Linked DNA regions of Daphnia pulex. The protein of the gene in region 2 purifies or fractionates together with the protein of the main gene of each other region. This does not show direct contact. Links are inferred from orthologs where the notes say so. Each region holds a gene or a part of one and is shown on either strand. Other genes may lie near its edges.

Region 1 (3,435 bases), on a different chromosome or scaffold from region 2:
GGCTGTGCTGGCTGAGTGGTGATCACAGCGGGGGGGGGGGGGGGGGGGGGGAGCATCAGATTTAACCTTGGCCTCTGTAGTTGGTGGCTGAATTAACACCTCTATGATGATCTCCTCGGTGGAAGATGAGGTCTGTTGTTCTTCACTGTTGTTGGTCATTTCTGTAATTTGATTCTGCAACACAAAACACTATCGATAATCAAACAGCATTCAACAACAGTGTAGTGGTTAAAAACAAAATGCGAGCAAAGAGAATACTTAGGCAGTCTTCAAGAACAGTTCCCCTTTTCTTTAACCAATGTGGTATTGAAACGGTGGCTTCCCACATGACCACAGCAATGCTGTCATCGTGTTCAGGCATTGGCTGTGCTGGCTGAGTGGTGATCACAGCGGGGGGAGCATCAGATTCAACCTTGGCCTCTGTAGTTGGTGGCTGAATTATCACCTCTATGATGGTCTCCTTGGTGGAAGATGAGGTCTGTTGTTCTTCACTGTTGTTGGTCATTCCTGTAATTTTATTCTGCAACACAAAACACTATCGATAATCAAACAGCATTCAACAACAGACTTGTAGTGGTTAAAAACAAATGCGATCAAAGAGAATACTTAGGCAGTCTTCAAGAACAGTTCCCCTTTTCTTTAACAATTTTGTGGTATTGAATGGAATTGATTAGTTAATTAATTTTACCTGAGCCATTGATGGCCGCTGGTTGATGTGGAAGAGAATACCATTACTTCACTTTCGAATGAAGACTGCAAATGGAAAACAGTAGACCGAGTTGACTAGATAATAGGCTGTGTTTATATAGCACGGCCTTATAGCAATGCGTCAGAACCATCTAACGGCAGTTTAGAAAAACACGAAAACACAAATTCGAGTATATAATTATGATTTCGTCGCAATATAAAAATCTAAATGCGACGGCTCCATGTAAAACCTTGTCTTGCACAAGATGATCATAATTTCCTAATTGTTTAACTCTAAGAAAAAAAACGTATAAAACATTAATGAAATAAACAACTTTCCTATCTCACTGAGAGGAACAACGCCATCTGTTGGTGTGGGTTGGGTTGGGTTGGGTCAGGAAACAGGTCTTTGGCGATAGAATCCCTATCGGGAAATTTTGACACACTCGCTAGAGGCGCTCACACGAAATGGGCAATTCGAGAACATGAACTTTGGACTATAGGGAAAATATACATGGAGTGCAGTGTTTATGATGTTTCCCCAACGCTACACATGACGACATGCATACCATTTCAAAACACCCTGTGGCGTCTATAGTTACGATACGTCACCAAACCCCACCGACCAATGAGCTTTTCCCACATTGAATCCAGTATTCTGCAGACGTCCTTTCCTATTTTCTGGCGCGTTGATACATTCTGAACAAGTGTAATATTTGCTGTTGTTAATTGTGGTAGTGGTCTAACCTAGGCTGTTAATTCGTGGACACTGCTTCTAACTTATAATCAAATTAAAACTTTTTTTTTCAAAATGCACTTGAAAGTGTTATTGTTATTTATTTGCCTTGGACTGGGAACCGTTTTAGCAGGGTAGGTAGCGAATCCAATTTACTTTTGTAACCGGCATTAACTTGTGACGATTTTCTAACGTGAGCATTTTTTCTTCGTTTTTACAGACGAGATTTTTATAAAATCTTGGGAATACAAAAATCAGCAAACACTAACCAAATCAAGAAAGCATACAGGAAATTAGCAAAAGAACTTCATCCTGACAGAAACAAAGAAGACCCTGAAAAAGCCAGTGCCCAGTTTCAAGACCTTGGAGCAGCCTATGAGACTCTTTCCGATCCAGAGAAGAGAGAACTTTATGATCGCTGTGGTGAAGAGTGTGTTTCAAAGGAAGGTGCAGGTGGGGGTGGAATGGATCCGTTCGCCAGTTTTTTTGGTGATTTTGGGTTTGGATTTGGGGGTAATGGTAACCAGGGTCAAAGGGAGGTTGCAAAAGGAGCAGATATTGTGATGGATCTTTTTGTTTCTCTCGAAGAACTTTACTCTGGAAACTTTGTTGAGGTAATGCTTTCATTAAAAAGTAAAGAAGAAAAGTGATTTTAAACATATATTTTACATTCTTTAGATAACACACAACAAACCTGTTCTAAAACCTGCAAAAGGTACTAGAAAGTGCAACTGCAGGCAAGAAATGGTAACCCGACAATTAGGTCCAGGAAGGTTCCAAATGATGCAGCAAGCTGTCTGTGATGAGTGCCCCAATGTCAAGTAATGGAGAAATCAAACTTAACAACGAATAGCAACTTATTATTCATGATGTTTGTATGAAACAGGCTTGTCAATGAAGAACGAGTTCTCGAAGTCGAAATCGAGCAAGGAATGACGGACGGTTTGGAGCAGAGATTTACTGCCGAAGGTGAACCACACACTGATGGAGAGCCAGGTGACCTCCGTCTACGAATTCAAACAGCTCCACATTCCACTTTTGAACGCCGAGGAGATGATTTGTATACCAATGTTACCATCTCTTTAGCGGATGCCTTGGCCGGTAAGTTGCAGCGCAGCAACGAATAATGTTTTAAATCTTGATAAATAACGGTCTATTCTGTTTTAGGTTTTGAATTAGATATTGAACACTTGGATGGACATAAAGTACATATCGTCCGTGACAAAGTGACTTGGCCAGGTGCTCGCATTCGTAAGAAGGGTGAAGGAATGCCAAATTACGAGAACAACAATCTTTTCGGCATGCTCTACGTAACATTTGACGTGCAGTTCCCGAAAGACGAACTCTCAACTGAGGTCAAGGAAAAGCTCAGGCAATTGCTGTCGCAAGATTCAATCAACAAAGTGTACAATGGCCTCAGAGGGTTTTAAAGTTCTTCGATGCATTTCGTGCATGTAAATTTTTACAATTTTTTTTTTTTTATTGAAAAAAAAAATCGCTGTGTCACTACGATCTACTTCTTGTTTCATTCTGCGACAGCCATAATTCCCGGTTTAAGTTGTATGCCACACAAGGATATAGCTCGGCACCGCATAAATTTGACATTTCTCATCGGATTTGAAATTCTCCAGAAAAACTGTAGGGGAGGCAATCTTGGGGGTCTTTTTTAAGGGTCGTACAAATGAATAGCGTTATATTCGCTGAGCAGCGGACTCATATCATATTATGGTTTTCTTAGTATACAGTTTTTTTTGCAAATACCTTTAAAAAATAATGAGACAGGATGTAGCCACCCAATAATGGAATGCAACCAATAACTGTCGTCGTTTGCATGTGGAATAAAAACGAAGAATTCTAAAAATATATTTTCTATAGGTTTGATTAGTAAATGTCAGAAAAAATAAATAAGATAACTTAAAGCATCTGCATAAAGACAGACTTAATGCAGTTCAATGGAATAAGGACAATTAGCTTCCAATTTCTTTTTCGTTTAGGCCTACAGCTACAGCCCT
Region 2 (4,954 bases):
TCTGATTTCCCTATGCTATTTCACGTTTCGGAAAGAAAAAGCTAGGAAATGTCAATTACTATAAAATTTTAAAATACGTACGTGATATTTCCCTTCGAGAAGAGAATGCCTTTTTTATATTTTTATGTCATCTTATTATTCTCATATTATTAAGGGAAATTACTTGGCGGAACTTGGCGCCAAACAATTTTGAATTCGAGTCTTTACGGATGCAAAAGATAGCGCTACCGGACTGTGGCAAATCTCAGCAGCAAAAGCAAGGGTGGGGACGGGGGTCAAATCTCCTACATTCTATTTCAAATGCAATTTAAAACAGAATTTGTGAATAAAGTAGATGCAAGCTGCCTACTCGGGCCTCGGGGCCTGTATATGCCTCTAAATTCTAAAAGATAGGAGGAAGAGCGGCATGCATGGGAAATCAAACCTTCAATACCCACAAGCATGAATATTGAAGTAGGCATTTTACTTAGGGATTGTGTTTTCAAACTATCCTAAAACTTTCAACTATTTCGAAATGAACACAAAATTGCTGTAACAGAAATGCTAGTTTATCTTTTTCCTTCTTGTTCGTTTTCAATCTAGTCGGGTTGAAGGTCAATTATTTAAAAAAAAAACGGGTTGGTAATTCTGAAGGTGAAAGATAAAATACTAAATTTCGAAATGACATAGTGGCACCTGAGTAAGCACAACAACTCTTGAAAAGTTTAAGCATTTCATCTTATTCTATCCGTTGAGTTATCTTGGCGAAAAAGACATCAATAGGTCATTTTGGACATTAAACATACGTTTTGATGTACAAACACATGACTGGCGTCGAGGAAACGTTTCTAAATATTAGCACCTCAGATTGAGCCATATTCGGCAAGTATTTGTGACCTGTACCATTATTTAATCAGATACCGGTAATATTCTATGTACAAAATTCACAGGAAGGCCAAATCGATGAAAATTGTTGAAATAAAAAAGAGGAAAAAAAGATAAATGTCAGTGACCCATTCATGACGAGACTTTAAACGATCTTTTGAGACAAAAAAAAGTTAATTTGAAACAACGAACCATGTTATTTTGTTTTTAATTTAATTAAAGTGGAACTTGAATTGGCCGCCATGGAAATTATGGAAACCCCCCTGTTGGAAAGGATTGAAACCTTGGCCTTGTTGGGATTCAGGATCTAATGGGTCCTCGCCATTATCATACTTTTGTCGCTTCTCTGTTAACGAAAATCATGAATTTAGATTAAATAAATAATGGGGGATATGTACGGCAATTTTTACCTGGATCGGTCAAAACCTCTTTAGCTGCGGCAATATCAATGAATTTCTTTTCTGCCTTTTTCCTAGATTCTTCGTCATTCTGGAAGTTGTCTGGATGCCACTGTTGCGCTTGTTTTCTAAAAAACACACAATAAGAAAACTTTCTTTCCAGCATGAAATGTAGCTCATTACCTGTAGGCTTTAACAATTTCTCGTTTGTTGGCGTTCTTTTTCACACCGAGTATTTTATAATAATCACGTTTCTTTGCTTGTTTTTGAAGTTTCTGAACTTTTTGCATTCCTTCCTTTGCTCTATTGAATGATTCTTCGATTTCTAATGCCTAAAGATAAGGTGCTTGATGATTAATCCAAGACATCAATATATCAATATGTTAATTAATAATTTACCTTAGCATAATCTTGTTGAGCCTCGTCGAGCATATCAAGAGCAATGTAATCTTCAGCTCTGTCGCACAATATCCTCGGCTCTGTGTGCCGAGCTAAAGCTGAAGAGCAGAACTCGAGACTTTCCGAGTGTTCACCTAGTTGAAGATGGCAATGGCAAAGTTTATCTTCAGCCAAAAATAATAATTCTGATACGGTGGGATCCACTTTCAGGACCTATATGAATGGTTACATTGTTATTTATTGTGGAATTTAATAATTCAAAGGAAAATACTTTTTTAGCTGAAGTGATGCATCCTTGGTAGTTGTTGTCATTAGAGTTAGTTTGCAGATCCTGCACAAGCTTTGCCACTTTCTTGACTTTCTTGTAATGAGGAAAGCACTCCTTGTGTTCAGGATCAAGTTTCAAACATTCCCTAACTTGGCTGTAGAAAAAATAATTTAAGGTAAGCAACTTGTATCATATTGACAATATTATGCAGAACAAAACAAAAAACACAAGAATAATTACTTTAGAGACTCTTCTGGTTCTCCTAAGCCATAATACAGTTTAGAAAGCTTCATGAAAGCGCCGGTATTATCGGACATCAATTTGGTAGCTGCTTTTAAATCTGAAATAGCCTTTGATGCCTCTCCAATAGCTAGATAACACTCTGAGCGCATCTCTCGCAAACCAATATCCCAAGGGCAAATCTAAAGAAAGAAAATGTTAGCATAGTAGCAAGAAATCATTTGCAAGAAAGTTTATAAAAACATACATCAATAACTTGGGTTAAGAGATCAATGGCATGGTGGTAATCCTTGTCACTGAAAAACATTTGAGCTTGCATGTAACTCTTCTTCAATGATTCAATTGCTATGTAATTTTTGTTGACTTCACTATTTGTTGGTTCCTTTTTAAGCTGTGAAAGATAGACATATAGGAAATATTTTTTAATTAACTTGACCATAATAACATGTATACTTACAACTTTTTCCAACTCAATATGTGCCTCATGCAAACGCCCAAGCTTCATTAGGATATTTCCCTTCTGAGCTCTGGCTTGAATGAAATCTGGTTGGATTTCAAGAACACGATTCAAATCTTCTAATGCAGCTCTTGCTCTTCCCTGGGCAAGATATACAGTAGCTCTTCTGTATAATGTTAAGTAGTTAGAAGGATCTCCTTCTAGAGCTGCATGGAAATGGGTGAGTGCATCTTGGAGTTGGCCCTTAGCCATCATTAATTTACCAAGCTCTAAATGCTTTTCAATTTCCGAGGGATTGGCGTTTCCGTGAACTGTATAATGAAAAATAAATACATAAGACGTTTGAATCACAAGGACAATTTACATGAGTTGAAGAAACCGGCTTGTACCTTCGATGATTCCGATGCTAACGAGACAAATTAAGATTGAATACATTTGTCTTGAATGTGGGCCCCAATCAGCCATTTTTAAAGTTATCATTCTATTTTTTAAACTTAAGAGCTTTAAGAAGCCACAAGGATCACTTCAGACTGATAATAGAATAATCGTCTGTGATGTGGCCCAATCAGAAGACATTACGTGACAAACAAAGCCATCTGTTGTTTAGAATTTCAAGCTCGTGGGTAGATATTGAGTAACAGAGCAGACAACATTACAAAAACGTGACGAAACCTCTTGTCCTCCGAACGAAAAAATGGTAATATTTCAAAGTAAATTTTATTGTGTATAGTGAAACTAAAGTTTTGCTATTAATGTCTACTATGTAATTCAGTCAACAGCGATAGTTGTTGGTCTTGGACTGGCTGCTGTCGGATTTGCTGGTCGCACACTGCTTCGATCTGCTCCCACAATGACGACGAAGTTTAACGAAATACTCAAGCAGTTTCCTATGGATACTGAGGTATTAGATAGAATTAATTGTAAATGTTGATATTTTTCTACTTATGGTAATGTTCTTATTATCATTTTTTCAAATATTTTTTGTAGTCTCTTCTTGGAAGCAAGTACTACAAAGGTGGTTTTGATGCCAAAATGTCCAAAAGAGAAGCATCTTTAATACTTGGTGTATCACCAACAGCCAACAAAATCAGAGTGAAAGAAGCCCATAAAAGAATAATGCTTGCAAATCACCCAGATAGAGGTGGCTCACCATATTTAGCAGCTAAGATAAATGAAGCAAAAGATTTCATGGATAATTTGAAATAAAACATCTTTTGTGCAGGGGAGAACTATAGATTTCATTGTAAATAATCTAACTTTAGTAACATTTGTTCAAATAAAAGAGTCAACAGCTTCAATAATTGTATGTTTTGTATAATCAATTATTATTCATTTAGACAATTTGCAATTTGGAGGATGAATGTAGTTTGTTTGCTGTTCAGGTAAAATTACTATGATTGATTCAGCTAGTATATTTTACAACTTTTTCCAACATACTCATAAAGATGTAGAAAACAAAAATTAAAATATTACATTTCACTAGGAACACATAAAGAGAAACAAAACGGGCCCACGGGGAGATACCAAATGCCCGAGGCTATAAATCGGTACCGTTTGATTTGGCAACATTGTTCCATCTTTTCTTAGCAGTTAACAGACGAAAATACGTTTTTCAACATTATTGTCCTGTCGCTCTTGGATTCTTTCTCCAACTCAAGAGTCTTAAGAATTGTTGAGGAAACACCAATAGTGTTTTCAAATAAGGCTCATTTGTTAATTAACTACAGTCAGTTAAAGTTTATACTTCACGGTGATTAAAATGAAGCCAAATGTAGTTGTTGATGAAATGTTTCCTGAAGGTTAGTAGTCCACCATTCACCATCGTGATTAACATGATGATTACCACAGCCAATATTTTTATGGATTTTTTTTACATACATAGGTGCTGGCAGCTACATGGACCTAGATGAGGTAAGCATTAATCAATTGATTTTAAAAATCTAGTCTAGATGTATAGTAAACTGATTTCCCATTCAAATCATTTGTTAAATATTACAATTCCAAAATATATTCAAACATGTCATCTGAAAATCATTTGATAGCATTACAAAGATCCTAGACAAAGATACAAATTTTTTTGGAAAAACAGCAATTAATTGAACACGATGTTAATAATACCAACTTTTTTCCTTTTATATTCTAATTTAGCTGTTACTTGCCATTTTAAGATATCTAATAAGTTTATATCAATGTTAATTTAGCAATCTGCTGGTCCCTCTGGAATGATTGTTGATTTGACATCAAATGAGAAGGCTGTCCATGGTGATTTTTACAATGGTTTGATAAAATCTCATGTTTACAAAGTATTCAGTAATAAGAAAATTTTTC

Evidence for each region. The genes of interacting proteins can lie anywhere in the genome.
Region 1: the proteins of dnaJ homolog subfamily C member 3-like (region 2) and dnaJ homolog shv-like purify together in Homo sapiens (affinity purification with mass spectrometry; 3 studies listed by BioGRID and IntAct, with this or other methods). This does not show direct contact. The link is inferred for Daphnia pulex from reciprocal best matches to the Homo sapiens genes DNAJC3 and DNAJB11.

The regions. Positions count from the first base shown.
Region 1 is NC_060017.1:5,991,432-5,994,866, forward strand, and holds dnaJ homolog shv-like, read left to right. Parts: upstream 1-1,319; 5' UTR 1,320-1,498; coding exon 1,499-1,557; intron 1,558-1,643; coding exon 1,644-2,037; intron 2,038-2,101; coding exon 2,102-2,244; intron 2,245-2,309; coding exon 2,310-2,524; intron 2,525-2,590; coding exon 2,591-2,853; 3' UTR 2,854-2,935; downstream 2,936-3,435. Other genes in the region: maternal protein exuperantia-like, read right to left, coding at 332-520, 689-697. UniProt on the Homo sapiens protein: As a co-chaperone for HSPA5 it is required for proper folding, trafficking or degradation of proteins.
Region 2 is NC_060023.1:5,722,015-5,726,968, reverse strand, and holds dnaJ homolog subfamily C member 3-like, read right to left. Parts: upstream 3,206-4,954; 5' UTR 3,107-3,205; coding exon 3,016-3,106; intron 2,938-3,015; coding exon 2,627-2,937; intron 2,561-2,626; coding exon 2,417-2,560; intron 2,352-2,416; coding exon 2,170-2,351; intron 2,084-2,169; coding exon 1,933-2,083; intron 1,875-1,932; coding exon 1,662-1,874; intron 1,595-1,661; coding exon 1,446-1,594; intron 1,391-1,445; coding exon 1,275-1,390; intron 1,211-1,274; coding exon 1,077-1,210; 3' UTR 869-1,076; downstream 1-868. Other genes in the region: mitochondrial import inner membrane translocase subunit TIM14-like, read left to right, coding at 3,321-3,323, 3,399-3,527, 3,614-3,832. UniProt on the Homo sapiens protein: Involved in the unfolded protein response (UPR) during endoplasmic reticulum (ER) stress.